Daphnia pulex: one gene and its partners. The protein of the gene in region 7 purifies or fractionates together with the protein of the main gene of each other region. This does not show direct contact. Links are inferred from orthologs where the notes say so. Each region holds a gene or a part of one and is shown on either strand. Other genes may lie near its edges. The genes, in order: sec1 family domain-containing protein 1-like, neuroblastoma-amplified sequence-like, vesicle transport protein USE1-like, RAD50-interacting protein 1-like, sec1 family domain-containing protein 2-like, synaptosomal-associated protein 29-like and syntaxin-18-like.

Evidence for each region.
Region 1: the proteins of syntaxin-18-like (region 7) and sec1 family domain-containing protein 1-like purify together in Homo sapiens (affinity purification with mass spectrometry; 5 studies listed by BioGRID and IntAct, counting the BioPlex papers as one, with this or other methods). This does not show direct contact. The link is inferred for Daphnia pulex from reciprocal best matches to the Homo sapiens genes STX18 and SCFD1.
Region 2: the proteins of syntaxin-18-like (region 7) and neuroblastoma-amplified sequence-like purify together in Homo sapiens (co-immunoprecipitation; 5 studies listed by BioGRID and IntAct, counting the BioPlex papers as one, with this or other methods). This does not show direct contact. The link is inferred for Daphnia pulex from reciprocal best matches to the Homo sapiens genes STX18 and NBAS.
Region 3: the proteins of syntaxin-18-like (region 7) and vesicle transport protein USE1-like purify together in Homo sapiens (co-immunoprecipitation; 4 studies listed by BioGRID and IntAct, counting the BioPlex papers as one, with this or other methods). This does not show direct contact. The link is inferred for Daphnia pulex from reciprocal best matches to the Homo sapiens genes STX18 and USE1.
Region 4: the proteins of syntaxin-18-like (region 7) and RAD50-interacting protein 1-like purify together in Homo sapiens (co-immunoprecipitation; 6 studies listed by BioGRID and IntAct, counting the BioPlex papers as one, with this or other methods). This does not show direct contact. The link is inferred for Daphnia pulex from reciprocal best matches to the Homo sapiens genes STX18 and RINT1.
Region 5: the proteins of syntaxin-18-like (region 7) and sec1 family domain-containing protein 2-like purify together in Homo sapiens (co-immunoprecipitation; 3 studies listed by BioGRID and IntAct, counting the BioPlex papers as one, with this or other methods). This does not show direct contact. The link is inferred for Daphnia pulex from reciprocal best matches to the Homo sapiens genes STX18 and SCFD2.
Region 6: the proteins of syntaxin-18-like (region 7) and synaptosomal-associated protein 29-like purify together in Homo sapiens (affinity purification with mass spectrometry; 3 studies listed by BioGRID and IntAct, counting the BioPlex papers as one, with this or other methods). This does not show direct contact. The link is inferred for Daphnia pulex from reciprocal best matches to the Homo sapiens genes STX18 and SNAP29.

The regions. Positions count from the first base shown.
Region 1 is NC_060019.1:10,712,662-10,716,876, forward strand, and holds the start of sec1 family domain-containing protein 1-like, read left to right. Parts: upstream 1-1,415; 5' UTR 1,416-1,575; coding exon 1,576-1,606; intron 1,607-1,670; coding exon 1,671-2,132; intron 2,133-2,211; coding exon 2,212-2,301; intron 2,302-2,362; coding exon 2,363-2,498; intron 2,499-2,569; coding exon 2,570-2,912; intron 2,913-2,977; coding exon 2,978-3,113; intron 3,114-3,199; coding exon 3,200-3,384; intron 3,385-3,444; coding exon 3,445-3,524; intron 3,525-3,585; coding exon 3,586-3,724; intron 3,725-3,789; coding exon 3,790-4,005; intron 4,006-4,071; coding exon 4,072-4,152; intron 4,153-4,215. Other genes in the region: tol-Pal system protein TolA-like, read right to left, coding at 1-13, 80-144, 224-257. UniProt on the Homo sapiens protein: Plays a role in SNARE-pin assembly and Golgi-to-ER retrograde transport via its interaction with COG4. Involved in vesicular transport between the endoplasmic reticulum and the Golgi.
Region 2 is NC_060028.1:6,573,763-6,577,262, forward strand, and holds part of neuroblastoma-amplified sequence-like, read left to right. Parts: coding exon 1-25; intron 26-90; coding exon 91-1,156; intron 1,157-1,229; coding exon 1,230-3,500. UniProt on the Homo sapiens protein: Involved in Golgi-to-endoplasmic reticulum (ER) retrograde transport; the function is proposed to depend on its association in the NRZ complex which is believed to play a role in SNARE assembly at the ER. Required for normal embryonic development.
Region 3 is NC_060018.1:697,881-700,754, forward strand, and holds vesicle transport protein USE1-like, read right to left. Parts: upstream 1,626-2,874; 5' UTR 1,534-1,625; coding exon 1,435-1,533; exon of another isoform or gene 1,418-1,434; coding exon of another isoform or gene 1,415-1,417; intron 1,345-1,414; coding exon 1,216-1,344; intron 1,160-1,215; coding exon 551-1,159; coding exon of another isoform or gene 504-550; 3' UTR 501-503; downstream 1-500. Other genes in the region: ATP-dependent Clp protease ATP-binding subunit clpX-like, mitochondrial, read left to right, coding at 5-76; translation factor Guf1, mitochondrial-like, read left to right, coding at 1,896-1,969, 2,058-2,245, 2,307-2,698, 2,765-2,874.
Region 4 is NC_060023.1:2,168,669-2,172,881, reverse strand, and holds the start of RAD50-interacting protein 1-like, read left to right. Parts: upstream 1-1,413; 5' UTR 1,414-1,507; coding exon 1,508-1,648; intron 1,649-1,712; coding exon 1,713-1,954; intron 1,955-2,024; coding exon 2,025-2,198; intron 2,199-2,260; coding exon 2,261-2,407; intron 2,408-2,471; coding exon 2,472-2,941; intron 2,942-3,007; coding exon 3,008-3,363; intron 3,364-3,430; coding exon 3,431-3,563; intron 3,564-3,631; coding exon 3,632-3,752; intron 3,753-3,812; coding exon 3,813-3,868; intron 3,869-3,942; coding exon 3,943-4,052; intron 4,053-4,117; coding exon 4,118-4,213. Other genes in the region: uncharacterized protein LOC124197333, read left to right, coding at 54-205, 272-629, 692-807, 871-1,074. UniProt on the Homo sapiens protein: Involved in regulation of membrane traffic between the Golgi and the endoplasmic reticulum (ER); the function is proposed to depend on its association in the NRZ complex which is believed to play a role in SNARE assembly at the ER.
Region 5 is NC_060017.1:7,886,077-7,890,094, forward strand, and holds the start of sec1 family domain-containing protein 2-like, read left to right. Parts: upstream 1-1,218; 5' UTR 1,219-1,604; coding exon 1,605-1,696; intron 1,697-1,773; coding exon 1,774-1,855; intron 1,856-1,946; coding exon 1,947-2,180; intron 2,181-2,245; coding exon 2,246-2,392; intron 2,393-2,812; coding exon 2,813-3,025; intron 3,026-3,087; coding exon 3,088-3,483; intron 3,484-3,540; coding exon 3,541-3,663; intron 3,664-3,728; coding exon 3,729-3,924; intron 3,925-3,986; coding exon 3,987-4,018. UniProt on the Homo sapiens protein: May be involved in protein transport.
Region 6 is NC_060025.1:1,294,317-1,297,271, forward strand, and holds synaptosomal-associated protein 29-like, read left to right. Parts: upstream 1-1,150; 5' UTR 1,151-1,269; coding exon 1,270-1,590; exon of another isoform or gene 1,591-1,662; coding exon 1,663-1,764; exon of another isoform or gene 1,765-1,833; coding exon 1,834-2,259; 3' UTR 2,260-2,455; downstream 2,456-2,955. Other genes in the region: TBC1 domain family member 10A-like, read right to left, coding at 1-49, 120-216, 293-774. UniProt on the Homo sapiens protein: SNAREs, soluble N-ethylmaleimide-sensitive factor-attachment protein receptors, are essential proteins for fusion of cellular membranes.
Region 7 is NC_060027.1:1,471,757-1,475,731, reverse strand, and holds the start of syntaxin-18-like, read left to right. Parts: upstream 1-1,175; 5' UTR 1,176-1,208; intron 1,209-1,918; exon of another isoform or gene 1,919-2,045; intron 2,046-2,120; exon of another isoform or gene 2,121-2,175; coding exon of another isoform or gene 2,176-2,206; intron 2,207-2,267; coding exon of another isoform or gene 2,268-2,479; intron 2,480-2,592; coding exon of another isoform or gene 2,593-2,757; intron 2,758-2,917; coding exon of another isoform or gene 2,918-3,292; intron 3,293-3,404; coding exon of another isoform or gene 3,405-3,523; intron 3,524-3,618; coding exon of another isoform or gene 3,619-3,784; intron 3,785-3,875; coding exon of another isoform or gene 3,876-3,975. Other genes in the region: F-box-like/WD repeat-containing protein TBL1X, read left to right, coding at 2,176-2,206, 2,268-2,479, 2,593-2,757, 2,918-3,292, 3,405-3,523, 3,619-3,784, 3,876-3,975. UniProt on the Homo sapiens protein: Syntaxin that may be involved in targeting and fusion of Golgi-derived retrograde transport vesicles with the ER.

The DNA of each region.
Region 1 (4,215 bases), on a different chromosome or scaffold from region 7:
ACCCGCGCTTGTCCTTCACCAGTCGAATAAAAAACAATTTTATATCAGAAAATCAGAAATTTTGTAAATTATAACTTACTCGAGGAGTATCATCTGCAGCATTGGTCTTCTCTTCAGATTCAGCACTCACTACGGCGATGAAACCTATAAATCAATAAAATTTAATATAGTCAGATTGATTTTTTATATTACTAAAGATTTAGAAGACAAAATCAAACTGTACCGATTACTGCAATCAAAACTAAAGTGAATTTCATTTTTTTAAAGAATGTAGTTTGTTGACGGAGACTCAAAGCTATAATTGTCCTTCTTGGGCAAATGATAGTCGAAGACTGTTTATCTTACAAACGCAACAAGCTTACCTTATATAGGAACAATTTTCAAGGGATTGATTCTTGGTCTTTAAAGCGCAACGTGTTAGATAATTGCCATTTGTGAAACGGAAAAGTTTACGGAAATAATACGTACGTGCAATAATGTAGGAAATCCTGCATAGTCATAGAGGGAAGGAGTATAATGGCATAACAAATGCTACCATTTACTTTCCATTTCAGTTTTGTCTCTCTGGACTCTCTATGTCAAGTTCCTCGGTTTAAGTAGAAAACGAAAATATAGGCCACACCGAAACAGACACGAAGATAATGAAATGGTCCCGTCTCCCGTCGGCTTATTATTCTTTGCGGTAAATAGGGTATTTGTTAAATACTTAAATTCTTTTAAAAAGAGGACACAAATACAGCTTAAATTATATTATTCATAGTTACATAAGACGCCGATTTTCGTATTCAGTGTTTCTTCAATTAGGAATTTCGTAGAATTTTTTTTATCGCATCTTAATTGAATCAAGCCATTCAGATGTCATGGATGTTAATAACATGAATAAAAATATTATTTTTCTTTTAGCTATCATTTTAAAAAGAACTTTTCTCTTTGCCTGTGATGAAATAAAAGTAAACAGGAAACAAACACTAAAGGGTGGGACACTATTTAACTCTATAGACTTTTAGGCGGCATACATTTTCCGCTCTGATTCCTTCGACAGTGAAAAAGAGGTTTATGTATCGAGGTAACAACTGAAATACTTCGAAATTGATAAAATTTAGAAGGTAAGCCAATGCGGAAATTTCTCCAATAAAGGGCAAGCGTTGACGATCACTAAAGTAAAAAGTGAAACTGATTAACTGACCTTGTTGCCTGACATTTGTTGCTTGGGAGTTAGGACTTGGCTTCCAGCTCCAGGGAGGATTCTGTTACAGAGAAAGGTGTTACAAAAACATGAAAAAGAAGGAGAACGGTTATAATATTAAAACTTTATCAAATAATACAACATCTAAATAATTTAAGCAACATTTTCGTAAAAAGAGAAAGTACCAATCAAAGTTTATGTTGCCGCCGAAAAAAGTAAAAACAGGCAGACAACCTCTTGGAAGCCATCTAGCGGAGAAGAAAAAAACAGCTGCTGACGTATCTGTTTTGACGGATCCGGATAAGTACACGATCTGACCGACATCCAAAATCCAAATATATAATATAACATAAAACAATATAACACGAGAATATTGAACAAGAAAAACCATGGGCTCTTCAATACGAGAGAGACAGATAAGTACGTCTGTTAATTGTTTTCTTTAAAGACTCAGTTTTTCATGCTATACTTTCTGTTCTTACAGATCTGTTGAAGCAAATGATAAATTTCAACCAACCTATAACTAAATCAACTATCATGGAACCATCATGGAAAATTTTGGTGTACGACAAGTATGGACAGGATATCATATCCCCCATTCTATCAGTCAAGGAATTGCAAGAACTAGGTGTGACTCTCCACGTCCAACTACACTCACCTAGAGACCCTGTTCCAGATGTGCCTGCTATTTACTTTTGCCTGCCCACTGAAGAGAACCTAGGACGAATAAGCCAAGATTTACAAAACCAGCTATATGAATCATATTACTTCAATTTTATCTCATCCATATCCCGGCAAAGATTGGAGGACTTGGCATCTGCTGCAATCAATGCTCAGAGTGTGGCCCAGATCTTAAAAGTTTGTGATCAATACCTGAATTTCATTTCTCTGGAAGATGATTTGTTTATCCTCAGAAATCAGAACAGTGACATGATATCCTACTACTGTGAGTACTACTCTTGCCCCCATTGCCACATTGTTTCCTTAAAACAAATCAAATTATAAATTTATCTTATTAATTTCAGCTATGAACAGGGGTGAAATAACAGATACAGAGATGAACAACATTTTAGATGGAATTGTGGATAGTTTATTCTCTTTATTTGCCACATTGGGTAAAAGTTGTTCTATTTTTCATTTATATGTGCATCATGTGCAAATTATTCAATGATGCAGGCACTGTTCCGGTGATTCGAAGTCCTAAAGGAAATGCAGCTGAAATGGTAGCTGAAAAACTAGACAAGAAATTAAGGGAGAGTTTGCGAGATACGAGAAGTGGTCTTTTTACTTCTGATCTAACCCAAAGTTTTGGGTATGTCTGTTTCATAGCCAAATAACCCGCCGCGCGAATTGCAGTTACAATATATTTTTTAAAATTTTTAGATTTCAGAGGCCTTTGTTGGTTCTCCTCGACCGTAACTTGGACATGGCTACACCTCTCCACCACACTTGGACTTACCAAGCCCTTGTACACGATGTTTTGGATTACACTTTAAATCGTGTGGTCGTCCAGGAACCAGAAAGTGATGCCAATCACCATCCGGATAGCCATCGGCACACCCCTTCTCACAAAGCCAAAATAAAGACTTGTGATTTGAACCCATCCGACAAATTTTGGATATCTTATAGAGGCAGTCCTTTCCCAACAGTAGCAGAATCCATCCAAGAAGAACTGGAAGATTACAAAGCATCGGAGAGTGAAGTGAAACGATTAAAAGAATCAATGGTACTGTTTCGATGAATAGAAATTTGTGGCCATTAATTTACCTTATTACGTTTTGTTTTTCAAAGGGATTAGATCCAGACGGAGAAGCCGCTATGAGTTTGATTTCCAACACAACAGCCAAGCTGACTTCAGCAGTTAGCTCTCTACCCCAGCTTCTGGAGAGGAAGCGGCTTTTAGACATGCATACAACCATAGCAACAGGTAAAATTATGTATTTTTTTAAAGGCTTCCTATGAACCACCCATAAATTGACACAAGACTAAACTTACTAACTTTCAATCTTTTAGCCATCTTGGAGCAAATCAAGCAGCGAAAATTGGACGTTTTACTAGAGGTGGAGGAGAAGGTTATGAGCAAAAACGCCTTAGATCGATCTGTCTTAGACATCATTAGTGATTCGGAGTGCGGAACTCCAGACGACAAACTCAGACTCTTTCTGGTCTATTTTATTTGTTCACCTAACATGACTGAGGTAGGGAATAAGCCTCTTTTACAATGATATTTACTTGTTATATTTATCGATTTTGTTTAGTCCGAAACTGATCAGTACGCCGCTGCACTAAAAGCTGCTGGCTGCAATTTAGCAGCTTTGCGCTATTTGAAGCGTTGGAAGTGAGTAATTTCAATCGTGGATTGTTTGACATGTTTCTAAAATTCACTATTTTCAATTAAGGTCGTGCAGCAAGATTGCGACTGGCTCTAGCCAGTACTCGGGAGGTGGAACTAGAACAGTGAACATGTTTACGAAACTTATGTCCCAAGGCTCGAATTTTGTCATGGAAGGCGTGAAGAACTTGGTTGTAAAGAAACATGTAAGCATTTTCTGGTTGAATTACTTTCAAATCAGAATTCATTTGATGAAAATATTTTTCAACAGAATTTACCAGTTACACGGATTGTTGATCACTTGATGGAACTGAAACCCTCTCCAGAAACCGACGATTACCGTTATTTTGATCCAAAGCTTTTGAAACCTAGTGAGGGCGGTAGTACTGCTCCTCTTAAGAGTCGTGCCCAATTCCAAGATGCTATTGTATTCATGGTGGGTGGAGGGACATATGCCGAGTATCAAAATCTGGTCGACTATGCTAAAGTATTGAATCTTTTCTCTCTTTCTTTTTAAAATTTGAAGTTATTTAATTACTTTTTACTTTTCCAGTCGAAAACAGTGGGAGGTAACGCAAAGAAAATTGTCTATGGTTGTTCCACTTTAAATAACGGAAATCAATTCTTGAAACAGGTACTGAAAAAACTCTTAAAGAAAAACTCGTAATCCAAATATTATTATACTTTTTCTTTAACT
Region 2 (3,500 bases), on a different chromosome or scaffold from region 7:
GAGCTGCGGACATCGAAAAACAAAGGTTTGTTTTATTTAATTTTAATAAATACTGATAATATTGATGACAACGTTTGTTATATTTGACAGCATGTTGGTGGAGAACGCGTTGGATTTCATCAAACTTGGCCTAGAAAGAAACGTGCCTCACTTGGAACGCATCCATCATCAGTTATTGACGCTGGAAACACTTGTCTACGACCTCCAGCAAGAACACCTCAACTTGGAAAGGCTCGACGCCATGAGCGAGCTGAGCGTTTGTCAACTAATCATGGGTGGCTGTGATGTTGATTCTTTTTTACCGAAACTTCATCGTTGGTTGATGCCTTATTTACGTCGCCTGGATACTCTACAGCCTGGTCGTATCAAGGAGCTATTACGCGGCCTACTCGTAGTCAGGAGTCAAGAAAATCTGGACTGGGCACTGCAGGTTTGTGCCAATTCGAAGACGGATCAGGCCAGCCCGATTGTCGTCGACGCAAGTTTCTTGATATCGCTAGCTCTGGAATGCATCTACGCCTGCCAGAAGAACGACCAACTTGAAGTGGCCATGAAAATTTACGATTGCTTACCTGAGCGACCAACTGGCTCCAAAGCAGATCCGCTACTAACCCATCTACACGATCAGTTGGATCAGCTCCAATCTCATTTAGAGGCAGCTGACATTCTCGAAAATCACGACGTGGCCATAACACCTGCGACTATATTGGCCAAGCAGAACGATGTGGAGCAGCTTGAACAACTTTTCGTCCGTTTGACCAGGACGGCTTTAAGAAAGGGCGATCCATCGACCGAAAATCGATGGAAAGAATTGTTGGAAGATATGCTGGAGTTGCAGCGTAAAGTCTTCTGTTGTATCAGCCCCCAACTGTGCTACGAAATTCTCGTTGGTAGCTTACTTTCTTCGGCTAAAAAGGAGAACATCGTTTCTGCTGGTTTGATGCTGCAGCTTCATCCAAATATCGATTCCCACACATCACAGAATCACATCAGTTCAACGTCGAAAATTCCATTTGGCCGAAGCAAAGAATTAATTCTCCAAGCAGCTGAAGAGTACATTAATTCTTCTGAAAACCTTTCGGATCCCAGCTTAGACTTAGCGAGCTATTGTCTCAATTTAGTGACAATTGACGACGAAACTATTCAAGAAGAAAAGGTGTTAATTTGTCATTTCTTGTTTTATCAAGTGTGACTTATGTCTTATGATTATTATTTTTTTTTCGCCCTAGGATCTAATTGGCGCTATTCAGCTTCTGTACGATTATGGATTGGATATGCCACCGCTCAAGATAAGGTTGTCGCGAAATCGCCTTTTTCTCATTGATCAAGTTTTGAAACAAGCTAACAAAGCTTACAAGAACTCGTCTAGACTCCTCCGACTTGGACATCTACTCAGAGCTTGCAAAGGAAGTTCGTTAACTAATAATGAAGATCGTCGAAAAGAACTAGAAGGGCATATATATGTCCGAATTGCTGAAACGGCAATCATAAAACAAGATCTTGAAGTAGCTGGCCAAATGTGTGGAAAACTTCGTTTAGCCAATCATGCAGTCGGATGGAAGGTCTGCAGCCAACTAGCCAAGCTTGATGAAGTGACCGATTTGAGTATGAGGATAGAATTCATCTCCTTCTCTTTAGTCTATTGCCCAGCTGAATGCATCGAAGAATTGCTACAATTGCAATGGAAGTTGGAACAAAAACAACTTGAACAGGAATGCAAAAAACAAATTAAAATGTACATGGATTACGAAAACGGCAATGATAATTTCTTGAAGTTGGTGTATCCAAAATCAGTCGAAGACTATCGTCAAGAGATGGATAAAAATAATCAGATTCCAACTACCACAACTACCAGTGGTGGAAGCGTGTCGAAGCAGGTGTTGCAGACAACTGCGGAAACGACAAAGCAATTGGTGAATGTCGTCAAGAGCAGCTTGAAACTAAAAGAAGCTCGGCCAGCAGAAAATGGAGCAAGAAAAACGCCCACCCCTAGAACATCAGAAGATAATAAAGAATGCATCCGTTGGGGCTTATCCGTGTTCTATTGGGACGTCTGGTGCAACAAAAGGATAGAACTTCACGAGAGTCAATTGGGTGCTTCCTATCGGCTTTTTTCTCTGCCCGAGATGGTCAATAGTGAACTTAATCTTCTCATGTGGTCCTGGCGAATGCTGGTGCTGGACAGCCTGGAAAAACCTTACGTCAAAAGCCGTTCAAGAGACGACATATTATCCAAGTTAGCCGAATGTCTATTTCCTTCTGATTGTTTGCTGGCCTTGGGCCATCTATTGGATCTAGAGGCGACCGAAGAAGCATGGGAGCCTTTAACGCGTTTACCCAGCACAGAGATCACTCTGCAGATGGCTGCCTATTATTTCTCTCTACGCATGATGCGTTTCTCTCAGGACGAATCCTTGGGTGCTGATGCCAACATGGTCACCGCCCGTCCGCGCACTCTGATCCATCGTTGCCTGACCCTTCCCGAGACAGGTTTGTCGAAAGATCAGGTTGTGTGCCGCAACCTTCTTAAACGAGCTCTACGACTTCTAGCCGATGTGTCTGAAGCGCAGCAACTACGTCGATTGGACGGAGGAGTCGATATTAATCGATTCACGACGGACGATATCTACAAGCGAGATACAATTGTAGGTCTTGCCATCACAACTGATTCCGGCGTCTATTCAGCAGCCGTACGCTTGGCAGCACATTATGGCGTTTCTGAATGGGAAGTGACATTTTCTCATCTGGCAGCTGTGTTCGCTGAAGAGAAGATTGCTCCAAGCTATATCGTGAAACACATGGACGAATACCGCATACGCGACATCTTATTCAATGACCCACAAACACTCGGGGCGAAGATGGTGGACGTAATCTATCCGAGTATTTCGGGTCGAGATTATGGTCGGCTAGTCCTTTTCTTCCAGTTACTCAATTCGAACCCAACGACTGCTGCATTCACGGAGCCCCCCGCTCCTGTATACGTTCAAATTCTGCGTAAGCTGGAATCGATTAAGGGTGTTGACGTGAAAAAGCTGACGCGATCCGTTCAAGGTTTTGTGCAAGAGATTGAGAGCGTCGCCACTGCGGAAAACGTTGGCAAACTAGCCAAGCTCGCACAACTGATATCGTCTTCGGTCAAAGGAATGTCGCCGGGCGTAAGCCAGGCTACCGTGCATTCAATCTGGATTCGGAAATATTTTTTCGCGTTGGCCGATGAAGGCAAAAGTGTGGCGGTCTCCGATTGGCTTGATCGATTTGAAAGTTGCAAGACTCACGTCACCAAGCTAAATTCAGAAGAGTTCTTAAACCTTGTCGATGGCCTTTGCTTCTCCGATCGTGCCTTGGACTTGCTGACGCTTGATATCCGGACAGAAATTTGTCGTCGATGTCTGAAAATCGCCAAAGAGCGCGGCAAAAGCAAAGCTTCCAGCGACGCTCTAGTCTCGGACGACTACCAGGCCCGCATGGAAAAGTGGGCGGAGCATTTGGAACGTTTGAGG
Region 3 (2,874 bases), on a different chromosome or scaffold from region 7:
ACAGAGCGTTACCAGTGATGGTCAAGTAGCTGTTGACGACGAAGAATTGGGACAAGCCCAAGCTGGACGGGGTTAGATAATACTTGTTTTCAAACAACAACTTTTCGTTTTCTTTCCAACGGGGCTACTTATGGCGTATATATATCGGGATTTCTAGACTACGTCGATATGTACAATTTTAAAAAAATGTACTAAGCCTCCCTTGTTGCCTCGTTTTATTTTTAACTTCTTTTTGTTTATGGGACTCGAAGCCTTCAATAAAGTCGATATAACTTCATTTCAATTAGGTTTAGATTTAGATTAACTGAGACAAATTGGGACAACTAACTGTGCTAATTGTGATGTGAATAGCAAAATATTATGATTTAAAAACAAAAAATCCAAAATACATTAATTGTAGTTGTATTCTCAAAGTAAGGGCACCAGTGGTTGATGAATCCTATTTAAGAACTTTTAAGTTTTAACCTTGTTTAATTTTTAGTATGTGTGATGTTCTTTTATACTTAGGATGTCTTCTTTTTCTTGAACAACCGCATGAAGACAATCATGGCTAGATAATAGAAAAAATTAACATCAAATGAACCTCAACATTACAATGAAGCAATAGATTACCTATGAAAGACATGCAGACAAGCAATAAAAACAACCAAACCCAGCAACGGGTACAGAATCCACTTCTCTCTTGAAGCTTTTGTGTTTGAGTCTGAAGGTTTGTCTGATTTTCTTCAGCCAGAATGTTGGCCTTTTCCAGTGTAATTAAGTCCTGTCTGATAATTGAGTTTGCAGACATGGTTTGCTCTTTCATGGTTTTAGCCATGGTAAGCAAATTATTTGTGATTTCTTCTTGGGTTTGCTGCTCATTACTAATCACTCCATCAAAATCCTGCACATGAGTAGGAGTGGTGTTTGTTTTTATGGTGCTCAGTAATTCAGTTTTTCTTTGCCTTAATGTTGAAGCAGGATTTTCAAATTCTTCATTTTTTTCTGTTGAGACAGACTCATTTGCTGGAAGTAATTTATTGGTCAGCAACTCATCCCTAACTTGATTGCTATACTGAGATGCAACTTTATGTCGGATTTCCTTTGAAACTGTGTCTCCGTATGGAGAAGAACAAGGGGACAAAAACTGAGAAGCAACAACTTTATCTGTAACAGAAGGCTGGAAAATTTTTATAAGTTAAGTTATGAGAAAATATGTAATGATGATGTAATTACCAGCTTTTCAGTGATGGTAAGACCTTTCAAAAAAGCAACAGATTTTGTGTAATCATCTAGAACATCCTTATTTGGTGGCATTGGACATTTCTTCAATTCTGTCAGCTGTTCTTCAAGTGTAATGATATACTATTAAACAGGAGGCAAGACAAATTAAAGCGATCCAGCTTCAGTTATTGTCGGTGGAAAAACTTATTACCATTGAAGAAGTAAGTCTACCTTCTCAAATCTCCATTCAGTGTGCTTTCCATTGTTGGCAATCGTTTTACACTGTTCTAAAAGTCGGATAAAGTTTGTTTCCAATCGAGTTCGGGTCATTTTTAGTAGCTATTAGCTAACGGATTAAATTCCCCTAAAATTAAACCCAAAATGCAGCAATTTAGAGCGACGAGCACCTAGCCACCTAGACAGTTGACGTAAACATTGTGTTGTGAAGAGCACGATGAATAATACAGGCCGCCCGGTGCGAGCTACTTTTTCTGACATGGCAATTGGCGCTCGATCTTCGATGCGTCGATTCTCCAAAACATTTTGCTGCTGGCCGACCATGCTATTGGTATTGGGCTGGCCTTCGCTTGTAGGAAAATTCGGCAAACTGCTGTCTGCTATTTATTTTCAAAAGAAAATAGAAACCATTGCCGGAATTATTACACATAGAAGTTGATTAATAAGTAAATCTGATGATGTGGAAATCACGTTCCATTCGCCATGCTTTTAAAATGTGCAGATGCAAATCCTATAAACATGTGTTTTGGTAAGTAATTTTTTTTACTCAAGAAATAATACTATTCTTTCTGAGAAGGAGCATCACACTGATTTGCCTTTATTTCTTATTTGTCTAGGAAGAGACAAATATTTCTTTTGCCAGAGCACATGAGTCTCCAACAAAGTTTTCAACACTATTCCAGTAAATCTAAATCTGAAATTGACCTAACCTTATTCCCTGTCGAGAGGATCAGAAATTTTTCAATCATAGCTCATATTGATCATGGGAAGAGTACTCTTGCAGATAGGCTATTAGAATTAACAGGTTTACAATATTCATCATTATTTGACTGAATACAGTTCTGTAATTGTCTCTTCATTTTCAGGAACAATTAGCAAAGGAGGTCATGAAGCCCAAATGCTTGATCGTTTGCAAGTAGAAAGGGAGAGAGGCATTACAGTGAAAGCTCAAACTGCCACATTAGTATATAATTATCAAGGAAATGACTATTTGCTGAATTTAATCGATACACCGGGGCACGTCGATTTCTCCTTTGAAGTATCACGGTCATTGGCAGCTTGCCAGGGGGTTATTCTTTTAGTTGATGCAAATCAAGGAGTTCAAGCTCAGACAGTTGCAAATTTTTTCCTTGCTTTTTCTCAAAATCTGGCAATAGTTCCTGTCATGAATAAAATTGACCTGAAAAATGCTGACCCCGAGAGCGTAGCTACTCAAATGAAAAATGTGTTTGAATTTGAACCGAAGAATATCTTACGTGTAACATAAAATTTATCTCTTTTTATTTCATTACATATAAAATTCATTGCTTAATTTTCTTTCCAGATTTCAGCTAAAACAGGCCTTAACGTAGACGCGGTACTTCAGTCCATTGTAGAACGTATTCCTCCTCCGAAACATTGTAATATAAATAAGCCTTTTCGAGCTTTACTGTT
Region 4 (4,213 bases), on a different chromosome or scaffold from region 7:
TCCAGAAATAAAGTTAAAATGGAATCAGTCTTGCTCTAATGATTTGAATTTAGCTTTTGTAGCGAAACCAGCGAATAGAGATCGAGAGAAATGGAAGGGATTTGCAATCATTAATGCAGATGAGAATATGATGCAAAATATGGAGTCTGCTACCCAGTTACAAGAATCACTGCTTTCGGTCATGGAAACCAAAGTACGATTACCAGTAAGACAAACAGTGATAACCTTTCCTATTAATGTTTAAATTGACAAGCAATTATTACATTTGCAGTGCATAGTGTGCCAAGGTCAAAAAGGTGCTATATTTTGTAGAATAACATATACGTCTGCCCTAAATGCCAAAGAAAAACTTGCAAACTCCCGATTTAAGCCCCCATTCTATTTTGTGGTTTTTCCAAATGAAACTGTTTTCTATTGCATTAAAAAATCCATCCCTGATATGATCGCCGACACCCTGATCAAAGTGTATGGAGCAACTCGATTGAGAATACTTCCTCTTGAAGGCAATGATTTCCGTTCCCTAAGACAACTGCATTTAAACAAGATTAGCAAAGGAAAGATCTGTAGAAGACCTGTCAAAACTACACATCCAATCGATGCAGACGTCGAGATGAAAGAATCTCATTCGGGTAATTTGTCATTATTCTGGAAGCCAATTTTTTGAGACATAATTCTTGTTGTTTGATTGCAGATTTAAAAGAAGACATAGAAGATGAAGATAGACCATGGAAGAAAAGAAAAGATGAATACTATTCTGAGCATTTCTATCCTGAGAAGGATCCTGTCATAACCAAATTCACTGTTTCGGTAAAATTTTGTTTCTCTTTCTAGATCCAGTTCACGCCTAATTTTTTATTTTCTATTGCTTAGTCTTCGTCCAAGTTCTCCGGTACCCGGACGACTTCGAAACTTAAGTGCGACCTTAAAGTAACCTTACGATCAGACAACCTCCTCGAGTTTTTTAACTATTCATTGGACAAGGGAATTCTCACGTACCCTTTAAACCCGTTTTTTGAAAACATCGTTAATTTAGGGCGCACCTCAATTTCAACAAAGGATATAGAAGAAAACTAGACTGTAATTGTTGCTACATTTTTCATTTTCAAACTGTATGATACGGTTATTACGGTAAATTTAAATGATTTTTAAATACACTAAATTTGAATTCATTCTATTATCGAAAAGTGTTTTGGTAGAGTGATTGTTTCGGACTTTCAGTCTCGTCTCGCTCGATCATAAGTTATGACAAAGTAAGAGAGTAAAAAGCATAATTATTCATAATTTTCATCAGCTACTGGATTTTCATGGATTTCCGCTTATTCTCTGCTTATGACTATGAATTATGAGTTAATGAGTTGTGTTCAATTTATCTTGCAACCTCGCGATTTATTCTGACACATAAACAAGCAGACAGTTTTCAATAGCAAATTGTAGTGTGGCTGTGGCAGCCAGTGAGCAGCAAACAAGTTGTGTAAACAAACTTAATAAATTACACATATTTATTGAGATGACGGAGGAAAACCCGGATTTGCAAAGAAAAATTGTAAAAGCACTCAATGAAGAAATTGGATCAGATTTAAAACAACTTCACAAACTCAAAGAACTGTATGATGAAACCAAAACCATACAAAATGATCTGAAAGAGAAAGTAAAATAATCTTGCTTCACCTGTTTTTCCAACATCTATTTATCTAATATTTATCTATTTTCAGCTTTCATTAGTTAGCACAGAAGCTCCAACAAAAGTTCAAAACACCTTGAGGGAGGTTGAAGAGCTCTCAAAAAAACTAGTGACTCTTGAAAAACAATACTTGGACTTGAAAGTTGAAGCCCAATCACACTTAACATCTGTCGACACATTTCTAGGAAATTTCAGCAGTCAACTACAAGAAATAGAAAGACTTGAACTGGAATATTCCTACCTGAAATGCATCAAAACTGTGGAAGATCTAAGGTATTCAATTTAATAAACATATAAACCCCATCATAAAGTATTAATCATGTTTCATCACTTATGATATTAGTGAGAAAATCCGACAGAGTTTACAGTCTAACCTAGATTTGGAAGCTGTTGAGTTGTACAACAAACTCGTACAACACAACTGCATGCTGGAAACATCTCAGTGTGAAAATCTAAAAAAGTTTGTTAATGATACTGTAATTTTCTGGTTTGAGATGATCAAGGAAAAACTAAAAAAGTATAGCCCATTTCAATTAAAGATTTATTATACACGTTAAAAAATGTTCTTTTGAAAAACAGGGAAATGCAAGATACTCTTAAACTGATACAGTGGCCTTTGATTTCAACGAACCAGGAGGTTTTAAAAACTGTCCCTCCACCTGATGTGATGAGCAAGTTTCAGTTACAATTTCAGTGCCTTGGCAAACTGGAAATCCCATCCAAACAGTCAGTTCTACACTGGCCCAAGTACAAGTTTGCGGATACATTTTGAATTCTTTATTTCTTTCAGGTTGGAAGATCCAAGTGTGGCAGATCATGTGATTTTGTCTAGATTTACTCCTTCCAGCCTAGCCATCCAAGAATTAATATATCCTCTATTGAAAAGATTTTTATATCATTTTGGTGGTAATCGACCAACCAACCGTCGTGACAAACCCGAGTGGTATATGCGCCAGATTCTTCAGTGGATTGGAGATCACGCTAAATTCCTCGAAACAAACGTTCAACCCTTGTATGCACCTAATGATGCTTTAACGGATTTTTCACGAGGACTCGTTCAACTTGCTGTCGAGAAACTAGTAAAGGACACACCGGTTATCCTTGAGGATGAAACCATTTTGGCACACACTATCGGTGAAGTACTCAGCTTTGAGAGTGAACTTCGATCCTCTTACAACTACCCATCCTCACAGCCGTCAGCTTTACTTGTTCTCTCTCAGCCCCAGTTTTTTACTCGATGGATTGCCTTAGAAAGAGCTTGTAAGTTGACTAATGAGAATTTCCTCGCATTCTACTTAAACTTCAATCATTCTGTTTCATTCATAGTCGCCGTAGAAAAAATGGACATCCTTTTGATTAGCGATAAAGCCTGGACTTGCGTCTCTGGAGACAATTCCGAGGCAGAAGACGAAGTTCGATTAACTGAGTGTGGCGAAGGATTTCTCCAAATGCTGCTGGCCATTACGGATCGTTACAAGATCTTACCCCAACCCGGTCATAAGTTGCAGTTTTTGGATTTACAGCTTGAACTGCTGGACGAGTTCCGTATTCGGTTGCTACAGTTAGCCCGTCAAGACAAATTTCACGAATTATTCGCCAATCGATCATCGCCCAATATCAGCCCTATCCTGAACACGCTGACGGCTGTTATTAATGTTCTAGATGACTGGACTGATTTGCCGGTAATAATTTATCCAAATTATGAATTATCGTATAATAATCGTTTATGTTTCTCTTTTGTGATGCAAGTTCTTCGTTCAACTGCATAGTTATAAAGTCCAGACGGAAAATATTGAACGTTTAGCTGCAGAAGCTATTAGCAATGATGAGGCCTCGCTTCCTTGGCTTCGTACTCAAGCTCATACTAATCGAGACGAAGAAGGTAAACAAATAGTCTTTTCAATATTATTTTTCCGAACAAAACATTATTCCGAATTTGATCATCAACAGGATCGGTATTTGACAGCATCATTGAGCTTTTAAAGAGAATGCAGGAAGATTTGCTGCGCCGTCTGGTAGAGGCGGTGATGCTCGAAGTGAAAGCCAAATCGCAACCCTACAGACTTGACAAGTAAGTAATTGAAATAATTTTTTGAATTGCCTTATTATAAAAAATGGAATTGTCCGGTAGGTGGGCATCACTCCCCAATCCGGATGAATTCATTCAACCCAGCCTATCGCCAACAGGTCAGTATTTAGATTCGTAGTTTTTATTTGATAATCCGTTTTATTATTTGACGTCTTTGTTCTATAATAAATAGGATCTGCAATGCTCCAGGCAGTAGCGATTGGCTTGTTGTGGCTTAAGGATTCCCTGGCATCTACTATGTTTGTCGAAGCGTGGCAGAAATTGGCCTCTCAAGTGAACGACGTATGAAATGACTGTGCCTGTTTTTATTCAATCAGAAATTTTAACGAATCAAACATTAATTCTAGTTCCTCTTGGAAGAGCTGATCCTACAGCGGCAGTTTAATGAAGGAGGCGCTTCTCAACTTTGCTTCGACATCCAGCAGAATCTGATACCGCTTTTT
Region 5 (4,018 bases), on a different chromosome or scaffold from region 7:
AAATCATAAACAAGTTGGAACTTGTCAAGATCATCCGCTAGGTTCGCTGCTTAAGTGTGCGGCCTTCTTTCACGATATTGGTAAGTGGCAGAGTTACTAAATAACAACGTTGTTTTCTCTTCCCTGGGTTCTCCCCATTGAAACTCACCTGACGTCTGACGGGTGGTGGTGGTGAGGTGGGATACGAGGAGGGAAAGCTGAAGAGCATAAATAAGAAAAAAGCCGGAACTTCGTCATAGCCCGGATTACATGGAGTCGACCTCCAAACGTCACACGCACAAACTTTTGGTCGTGAAGGAGGAGGAAACAGAATCGGCCGCCAGCAGCAAAAAGGGGAAATGTCCGCAATCAACTACAACAAAAGAGATTGAAAAAGAAAAGCATACGAATCCCAAGGCTAACTAAGGTTATATATCGTTGACGTCACAAGGCCTGCTGGGGTTTATTTGGGAGTGACCTCCATTTATTCATCAGTCTGAGACCAATTTTTGAACAATAATTCTCCTGTTTCACTTTTGATTTGATAATACACAGCAGTTGAATAATCGGTTATTTACCTCGTCTTCAAGCTCTTCTCGTAAAATGCAAATTAAGCGGACTAAATCTTATATAATACATCCTGGATTCATTGAGGTTGTTTACATAAATTACTTTGACCCGCAATATTGTATTGAATATTATCTTATCGGAACCGACGTCAACGTCGACCAATTTTCTTCAATCAGGACTTGAATCAACAATAGCCAGACGCTACCCAACTATCGTTACTTTTAACCAATGAGAAATAATGATTTAGTAAATAAAGGATCAAAGCAAATGTCGAGTCATTAAGAAAAAAAAGCTGATTCCCCGATGACTCACAGAAGACCAGAAATGATGAGTAATATTATACAAAGATAATCGACACTACCACTGGAGCTACCTAGAAATTGCGGTACTATTATATTTTACGGTTTCTGGAAGGTCATAGAAAGAAGCGAAGCTTTTTGTTTCGTCATTTTTGAAATTCGTCATTGACATTTGCGTCATTTTTCAAGAATATTTCAAGACTGTGAGAGAGTGATCAGGCGAAATGACTGAATGTACATATTTCTATGATTATTCTACCCTAGCGATGGATATACAAATATCTATGTCACCCTTGCAAATGCGTTATTTTGAAAACGTGTTGAGATGCCAAGAATGAAACAGTAGCTCCGAACTTTTAGAGGACAAATTCAGATGTGAAAAAAGGGCTGAAGGCCAACTCTCACTCATCGATGTTTTTTGAGGCCAACACGCACAAACCACAATCATGTAATCGTTTAACTTTCGACAAAAACGTAGCCGTTGCGCTTGATGTCAATGTTATTATTACGCGCTTTATTGCAGTCGTGAATGCGAATTTTGGCAGTAGATTGTTTGGAGTATTTAATCGATGTTTTTACCAAGTTAAATTTCCAACTAGTTGGGGATGCTGTTTAGTATGTTTTGTCGTGTTGACATTTGCAGACGGCGCAACAGAAATACACAACAAACAATCACCGTCTTTTGTTGTGCGTTTGTCAACAGTTAGTACAGCCATTAGTTGAAAAGTTCTCAAGATAAGATTATAGCGAATTGCAATGTTGAGATGGCAAGAGTTTGGTCAAGCGTGGTGGGCTGAAGCCAGAAAGAAAGTGAAGAATGCAGCCGTCTTTTTGGATCCGTTGGCGTGGTAGGATATTGTCCAAATTTAATTTACTTACAACATAAGAGTTTTTCTACTTTCTATGCCACATTTTTAAAATACAGTGAATGTCTTCACTGGAATGGAGGTGCACCATCTCTTCTGGAAGCTGGAGCAAGCTGCATTAAAGAACTTTCAACTTTCGAAGTAATCACAAAATTAGCCTGAGACATTGCAACATATTATTATCAGAACATGTAACATAAATATGTTTATATCTTTATTTTTCCACTGTTAGGTTGTACCTAAAAATATCAAGAAAGGTGTCTTTATTTCCAGCACAGCCTGGCATGGAACAAACTACAATATATTAGAAAGCCTCATTAAGAAGAGCAATTTGGAATATTGTGTCATCATAACTTCAGCCCATGTGTCTGTACATCATCTTCTTCTGTGGGGTTCGAGGGAGAGCAATGACTCGGAAGTATTGCAAAAGATTGAAGGCGATGTTTTAGGGTGGATGGGGAACATGGTAAAATCGATTCATTGAAATATTGTGCATTTTAAATTTCTTAAATCTTTATCTTCTTTTTTTAGAATTATACTGTGGAAGTTTTCAGTTATCCTTTAAGCACCCTTCATCCAACCAGAGATACAGTTTTAATACCCTCTGCAAAGTTAGCAAGGCCTCTTCTCACAAGTGATTTAGGATACCTAAATGAACAGCTCATTCTATTTAGCAAGGTATCTGGTTTTAATGTTACAGCAGTTTTGTGCTACAATTGTTTTGATTAAGATATCTTTTACCAAGTTTCTCATTAAAAAATTGAAACAAAGTGGGGCACAACACTTTAAGTAAAAAGTGACCTATACCCGATTACCCATGTATCATCGCTTATGAAGAGAACCTGGCTAGATCTCTTAATCGTAACAATATAAGTAAGAAATTTCTTACTTAATTTTGTGTTGAGATTGAATGATGTGAGCAAGCCAAATCTGAAGCAATTCGGTTATTATTAAAATAGCCTTTGAGTGCCTTGTTGAAAAACTTTGGTCCGAGTTAGCGAAAGTGTCTCTGAAAATCATCAACATATATTACAGACGGATAATTGTCGCATAGTTACTCTTTGATAATCAAACCAATTTATTATATTCTATGTACAGCAGGCGGATGCACAAACAGTGCGATCGATAAACGATCTCAGTAATGCAAATTTGCCATTAGAATCGCAAGTACAAGTGCGTCAGCTAGTTCACAACCTTAATCAACTGATACAGCACATCAACGGAAAAGATGAAATTTTCACAGTGGGCCCATTCAGTAGAATAATCGGTACTGAACTTGAAGCTTTAAATGCTGCCAAAACTCGAAGAAAAGTATAGAAATGACAAACAATCCTTCTTTATAAAATAATCAATGCCCTTTTTATTTTTGGCAGACGGCGACAAATAAAGTGTCCGTCATCTTGGTTGACCGGCTCCTTGATTTGGCATCCGCGACCAAGTTCTCTAGTGACAATTTGTACGACCGATTCATCCATACTCTTGACCGGCTTCACGAATACTCTAGTGATGTAGCTATTAACATGAGTGGAAAACCGCAAGGAGATTTGACGACGGCACCTGGCTGTCTAGCACCTCAAACAGATTGGAATGACGGATGGGACATGATGGATCATTTGTTTCACGAAAATTCCCAACAGGCTACAGAATGGTTTACGGATGTTCTGAAAGACAGCTTAGAAGATTCAAACGATCTTAAAAATCTGGGCGATGTCATTCATCAATGCAGCAAGGATTGGGATTTTATTGAAAAGTTTACTCATTTGTATCAGGTACCTCAATATTGGTTTATTCTATTAGCATTTGTTTAATGAGTTCCTCCCTTACAGGTTGGATACGGACTATCTCAGATTCAGAGTAATGATAAAGCAAAACGAATGGACGATTTAGAGGGAATTCGGAAAAGTCTGGTTGAATGCTTAGATGACGAATCTCCGTCTCCTCTCATACAGGTTTTTCTTGAAATTCGTTCAATTTCTCTTTATTTAAATAAAGTGAAAATGTCGATTGAAAATAGGTCTTGCAGCTGTTGAAGACGAGGAAAGATATGAATTTATCTTTGGATGATATCTTGGTTCTGTTGGTCCACTTGTACTCTCTAGCAGGTGACAGACGAAAAGATGTATTGCCCGCTGAGTTGGAGGAACGCTTTAAGAGTCTCGTGGCAGAAATTATCGTCAATGATATTCTCTCTGATGAGCTTCAAGATTTTGGTATTAATGAACTTGCAAATATCAAACTGGAGAGACGCTCATATTAACAAATAATATTTTAGTGGGCGTTCCTGTCGATGAAATTAGAGCGCAT
Region 6 (2,955 bases), on a different chromosome or scaffold from region 7:
CTCTGGGACGGATAGAACTGGGTATTCCTTTCCTACACCTGTCTCTTACCTGTTGATTACAAATAATTGGGTGTTAATAGAAACATGAAAGACAAGAAAAATAAAAGATATTGCCAAACCTTTTTGTATTTGTATGTCATATACTTTTCCCAATCATCTAACATGTTTAACCACTTCAGCTCTCTTTTGCGAAAAATGGCAATCATTGCTGGGTTTCTAAATTGAATTCAAAATAAGCAAATACAATAGTGTTAAACTAATAGGGGATTCAAGGGAAACAAATAAAACTTACATTTCAGTGTCATGACTGAACTGAGATCCTCCAAAGAAACCATATCTGTCGGGGACTGTTGATGCTATTGATCCACCATAAATAACACTGCTGACATCATCATCAACATCGGTTTGATTAAGGGAACCATTCATTGATTGGTTCTTTGTAAGAAGCTGTCTTTCCTGAGATTGGAACTGGGCAATGTCAGGAGCTGATAACACTGCATCATCAACTCCAAGGATCTCTCTGCTGAGCCTGTTTTGTCGTTTTGCTAGCTTCCTATCTCCACTAGGACCCTGTTCACATGAAGGCTGACGGTAGACTGATTCAGAACTAAAGGGTTCTAAATCAATCATATTGATTCGTTCAAGTCTTTCAAGACTTTTTCGAAATGTACGTCTTTCCACAGTTGTTGCACTGCCATCATGGGCTGTTTCGACGTTGCGAAGGAACGGAGATGTTATCACTTGAAGTGATAATGGCTCGTGACGAGTGGCCATTGATTATTTCAAATATTTCGCAATTATTTTATCAGGAAATAAGGCACTCATGATACTGACACGTTCTAAGGACAGTTGCGTGACTTCACACGTAGATATTTTGATCACGGGAAAACAAGTGAAGTAAGTAAGAAGGGCTGCTATGACGAGAAAGAGGTGGGCTGTTCCCTCAGCCTGGTGAAGCCTCGCAACATTCCTTAAATTAGCTAATTTTATTAAATATTACTGATTCATATGAATGAATAATAATAGAGAATTATTTTTTGAAATTTTTAAATGAACTTAAAAATAATAATATGTTTTAATTGATTTGATTTATGTTACTTACAATTTTATTAAATCATTACTTTTGTCGTCGCTAGAGGGAAGACATCAAACCTTGGTTACGACTCTCGGCAGTCTCTTTAAAGGCCTTGACAGCTTCGGAGGGCATGCGAAAGTGAGTGAGCAACAAATAATACATACAAGGAAAAGTGTATTAGTGTCGAAAAAACTATGGCTGGATCCAGTGGGCGTTACGTCAAGTCTAAAGGTTCAAATCCATTTTTTGACGATGAAGACGACGTGGACGACGAAGAATTTCTACAAAGGGCACCCAATAGGTTCAATAACTTTGGAGGAAAATTAGCCAATAGTTTGTCGGGCGGAAATAACAGTTTCCAACCTCTGGACGGAGGAGAAAATCAGAGCGCCGATGAACGTAGACGACAACTTCTTATGGAGAAACAGAAAATAGAAGAACGTACTTTGCAGGCTTCAGGGCGAGCTAAAGGAATGTTGTATGAGACTGAGCAGATTGGAATCTCCACCGCTGAGGTTTGCACATAAGCTTACATTAGAAAACCACTTAAAACTTGATTCATTTTCCCCTTGAAAATACCCAACCAGGACTTGGTAAGGCAGAGGGAACAGTTAGAGAGAACTGGGAGCCGACTGGATGAAATGAATAATTCATTGAGGACTTCAGAGAGACACATACAGAATATCAAGGTAGTCTATCTATATTTTATAGCATTGGTTGGTTGTTTTTTCCTTAACACAGATTTCATTGATTTTTAGAGTGTGTTTAGCAGTATGAAGAACTACTTTTCTAAGCCTTCAGAGCCACTCAAAAACTCTTCTGAAGGGTCTTTGTTAAAGCCTAGTTCCAGTAGTAGTAGTAGCAATCTTTCCAAGGTACTTGAGCAAACATCATCACCGATTGACCGAGACTCACCATCACAGCAACAGCACCCAGCATTGAGGATTAAAGGACTTGAAAATGATTTTAGTCACAAACCTCTTTCCAATGTCGACGAGCAGCTAGAGCAAGATCTGGGTGACATGAGTTTGTCCCTGTCCCGTCTGAAAGGTCTCGCCCAGGGATTGTCGACTGAACTGGAAGATCAGAACACGTTGATCGATCGGTTGCAGACTGGTGCCGACAAGGCTGACTGGAGAATCCAGCGTCAAAATAAAGATATGGAACGTCTTCTGAAAAAGTGAAAACCCCACGAGTCCATGTTGTTTCCAACTTGTGATACACAAAGAATTAGAATTGAATGAAGAAAAAAAAACTCTTTTTGTTTTAAATAAGAAAATCTGTCCCCCTCTTTTTGCGCACCAAGGTAAATTGCCAGCACACTCCCAGTGTGTATATATATTATATATTCATGGAATAATACATTTAGGTGAAACACGGTCTGATAAAAAGAAAGAAAAAAATGATTATTTGCATGAATTCAATTGGGGATAAGTTTACTAGGTATTTTATTAGTATATGAAAATTTTTTCCTGAGAGTGTTTAATCATCCGCAAGGAATTTTGCAGATGTTGTGGAAAGATGAGCGGACGTGGTGATCGTGTTATTGCCTGTTTCACGATTCGATGATCATGAGAACGAAACGAGCCGGACGGTATGAATGGCAATTTTTTTTTTCGTTTTGAGAAACTTGTTTTAGTTGACAAGAACATATCCACACAATGTCCTGATGGGCCAGCTTGTCTTTGCGGATGTCTGCACCAGCTGTTATTACGGTTCATTTGTTGATTTTAGCCGCACACTAAATTGCCATTGTCTTCGTTTGGCGACTGTTTTCTGTTTCCGTTTTACAACAGAAGACCATTGGTCGGAGTTCCAGTTCATACAAACCGCAAACGTAGCACCTTGAAATGTGGAAAAAGGGGAATTGGCCGCACATT
Region 7 (3,975 bases):
TTGCGAATAAATTTGGAGTCCAATTCCCATCCAGCGTAATCGTGCAAAGAGCGAAGGAAAAACCTTTTTTAGTCGGGTCAGATTTCATTCATCTAATATCCCAGTGTCCCAAATCGATTATTTAATTAAGCGTAAGAGCTCAATCGCCTTTTTCTGATCTTTTTTCAGAGGGTTAGATAACGGATCAATTTTTGTTTGGTCGCCAACGGAAAAGGAAATACAACCAAGTTTGTTTTTCGATTGACATTCCCACGATTTGCATAAAATCTTATTTTCGCCAAACAGACGCTTTCTGGCATCGACCGGCTATGAAGGAAAATTGGTTATCTGGTCCACCAAGGTAAATTTGAAGGTAAAACGAGTGAAAGACTGGATGTCTTAAATTTCTCGCAAGGTGTTTAGAACTGGGAACAGATCATGACACCTTTTACCACCATCAGGGTTTCACCACCGGTGCCCAAGCCCAAAACTCTCAAACTAAACCTGCTCAAATAAAACAAACAACAAAAGTAATATCCACCAACAACGTAAAAATAATAAAATAAACTTTCACGAGGAAGCAATGTAGACTCACCATGAAAAGAAACCTCATGGGATGCATATTCTGATGTCTGTCGAAAAAAGATATAAACTGACTGGCACTGCATGGTGCAAAACCCTCCTACAATCCTTTCGTGCCATAGTTGATATTGTCATTTAGTGAAACAGTTCACAAATAGTTACCTTTCATCAAGTACCCAACACGTTACAATTCTAGAATAAGTCAGGCGCCATATTTTTCGTACAAATACTGCAGACAAAGGGATGTTTACCTCATCAGCATGTGTGTCACTTCCAGCCTGGTGCAGATTCAATTCACCACCGAAAATGTTGGTCACAGATTTTGCAAAGGAATCACAATGAACAGTACAATCTTTAAAGTAATATCACGCTGCTCAACACAAATGAAGACGATGGATGCACACTTTCGAACATTGTTCACTGTTCAGTGAACTTGTGAAGTAATGGCAGTAATGGTGTGCTCTCGAAGACGAATAGCTCGTCGTTCATGGGAATGGCGCCAAAGAAAAAAATACATTGCAACGAACTTGGCAAACGACTGGTAGATGGCGGACTAAGTTCCACAACAAACTGACGACGAGGACGTTTGAAAAATAGAACGGCTGTTGAGTGTTGGCAGATTTTTGCTCAAAAATCATTGTCAAACGGTAAGTTAAACAAATAAATTATAAAGAATATACATTACTTATTCAAATCAAAATATTTGTTGTTGGAAACACCGATCATGATGGATATCACGTCCCTGTTCAAGGTCTCCATCAAGACGGTCCGGACACGCAATAAAGCTAGCTGAAAACTGAAGACCCAAATTGCATTTTCCCACGACCATCCAAACATTTTTCAAAATTCCAAACGAAAGCCAAAGAGATTGTCTCAAATGTGGCCAAGTTGAAAGAGTTTTAGACAGCTAGAATTGAAAAGCAATCACGCTCGTGATGTGAGTGAACGGATTAGATAAACAAAATACCGTGATATCGGCAAAAGAGATGCCTATCAATGGACTCTGAGAAAGTTGTTATAATGTATCATTGGTTGTTGAAAGATAATTGAAATCAATTAAGTTGTCGGGAAAATGAAAAGACACGAGTTTTTCAAGTTTACTTTCTTTTGGGGTTATTTCAGTGGGTAAAAAAAATATAGTGGGTGTGGAGAGGAAAGTCGTATGGTGTGAGGTAAGGGGAGTGAGAAAAGATTTTTGTCAAAGGATTAGTCAAAATGCAGTTGCGTATCGAAAATTACAGCTATTTTAGCAACCTCGAGACAAGTTTGAAAAACAAAAAAGATTCCAGACAGAAAAAGTCAAGGTAAATTTTCCTACGACCCCGTTCAAATCCACCCCCTTCTTACCCCCTTGAACGTTTCTCTTTTGTTTTTCAGTTTTACTTTTCCAGTTCCATCTTCTTTAATTGCCACTTCAGTTTCAACATTCTTCGAGGCATCGTGCTGCCAGTCTCTTTAAATATTACTCATCTATCTGCGCATCGGTGAAATTTTTAAGATTCTAAACTCTATGGATATTCCAGCTTTAACGCTGTAAAATAATGTTTCGTTCATTTTAGTTCGCTACTTCTAAACGTGGTTTTACACTTCCGTTCGTCACTAAGGAGAGAGAAAATGACAGATGCTGTAAACTCACCAGGGAAAGGTAAGACAAATATTTATAAACTTGTCCATCGTTTTTAATCAATGTCTGATGTCCCATCCAGGTTTTTTCAAACCAGTTGAGTTCTCAATTACGAGTAAACTAGATGTGAGAAGTTCCAGTTTCCACCCCATCGATCCTGTTCTGGCGTGCGGCTTAGTTCAAGGAGGATTAGTTTTCCTTCGGGGAACTAATCACTCCACACCGTTTGAGAATTGGGAGATTGAACCCGTATACAGCCGATACGAAAGGACAATTTTATCCGTCCAATGGAACGTAAGTCTGTGAATCAAATAATTGTGTCCGTGTTTCACCCCATCAAAATCGTGTGCTAAATGTTACAGTGTTAATCCTAAGTTTCTATTTTTGTTTTTCTGTTTGGCGTAAAGGTCAATGGAACTAAAGTAGCTGCTGGCTCCGATAATGGGACTGTCATTATTGTGTCTTATCCAGGCTGTGGCAAACAAACATTCCGAAGAAATGGACGATCGAATTTCCCGTTAATTTTTTGGCATCCATTTAACCGGGACATGTTGGCTAGTTATAACAGTGCGGTAAGTGAAAAAAAAAAAACAATATTCATGTGCTAACTTAGTAGTTTGTTTAAGTAATGCGGGAAGGGAGAATTTCAAATTAAAAGTCGGTGTACACGAGAAACATTCACATTAATTTATTGTTCACCAGAAATTTTAAGTTTTAAAATTGTATCTCAAGTTGGACACAAACGAGGTGATGATTGCCAATTCAGCAGCTGAAAACCTCCTCACCCACACCATCAAATCAAAATGGAACTGTCAGACCCTGGCCTGGAACTCGCACAATCAACTCGCCTTTGGTTACGACGATGGAACGTTTGAAATTCACGAAATAGAATTGAATAACAGTCAAATGAAAAGCCGAATGGTCCAGAAAATCCGTCACGATCTGGGTGATCATGACAAAGCTGTTCACCATTTTTCGCTTATGAATTCCAGGGACAATTTTTCGCTTATGAACTACCAGGGCCAAACACGAACTTTCGTATCGAGTATCGCCATTAACAAAGAATTTGAACTTTTGGCTTCAGGTGGAACAGACTTTCGAGTCAAGGTATTAGAACTACATACGTTATATTTATTGGATTTTAATAGTCGATAGACAATTATTATTGTCTAAGTTTTTAAATTTAAATGAGTCAATATTTAAACAATTTTAATTGCAGATTTGGTCATTGGGCAGTAAAGATCCTATTCTTGTGTTGGATGTCGATTCCAATTGCAGAAATTTGGTATGGAATTCTGGCATCAAAGAAGAGATGACGACAAAAACTTTTATTGCATGGTTAGACTGCCTAGATTATTTTAATCAAGTTTTAAAAGATGCAAGTTTAAATTGACATTCTAATAACCACAGCTTTTTAATTGGCTTTTATTCAGCGGATTAGAAAGTGGAAACGTTGTAATTTGGTATCCATTTGATCATGAAATTCAGACACGAAAACTTACAGGACATGATCAGATCCATCAATTAATACTTTCACCTGACGGACGCTATCTCGCAACAACAGACTATTACAAGAAAGTGATTATTTGGTCTACAAAGGTAAAATATTTTTGATAGAAATTCTTAGTTGGATCAAACGCGACTCACGTACATTCTTTTCCCGCAATTTCTTTTTTAAATGAATTTTCAGAGTTGGAAGAGCATATACATTATACCCTCATCAGAGTATATGTATCCATACATGATGACATGGGACGCGGCCAGTTGCAAGCTAGCAATTTCAGAGAGAA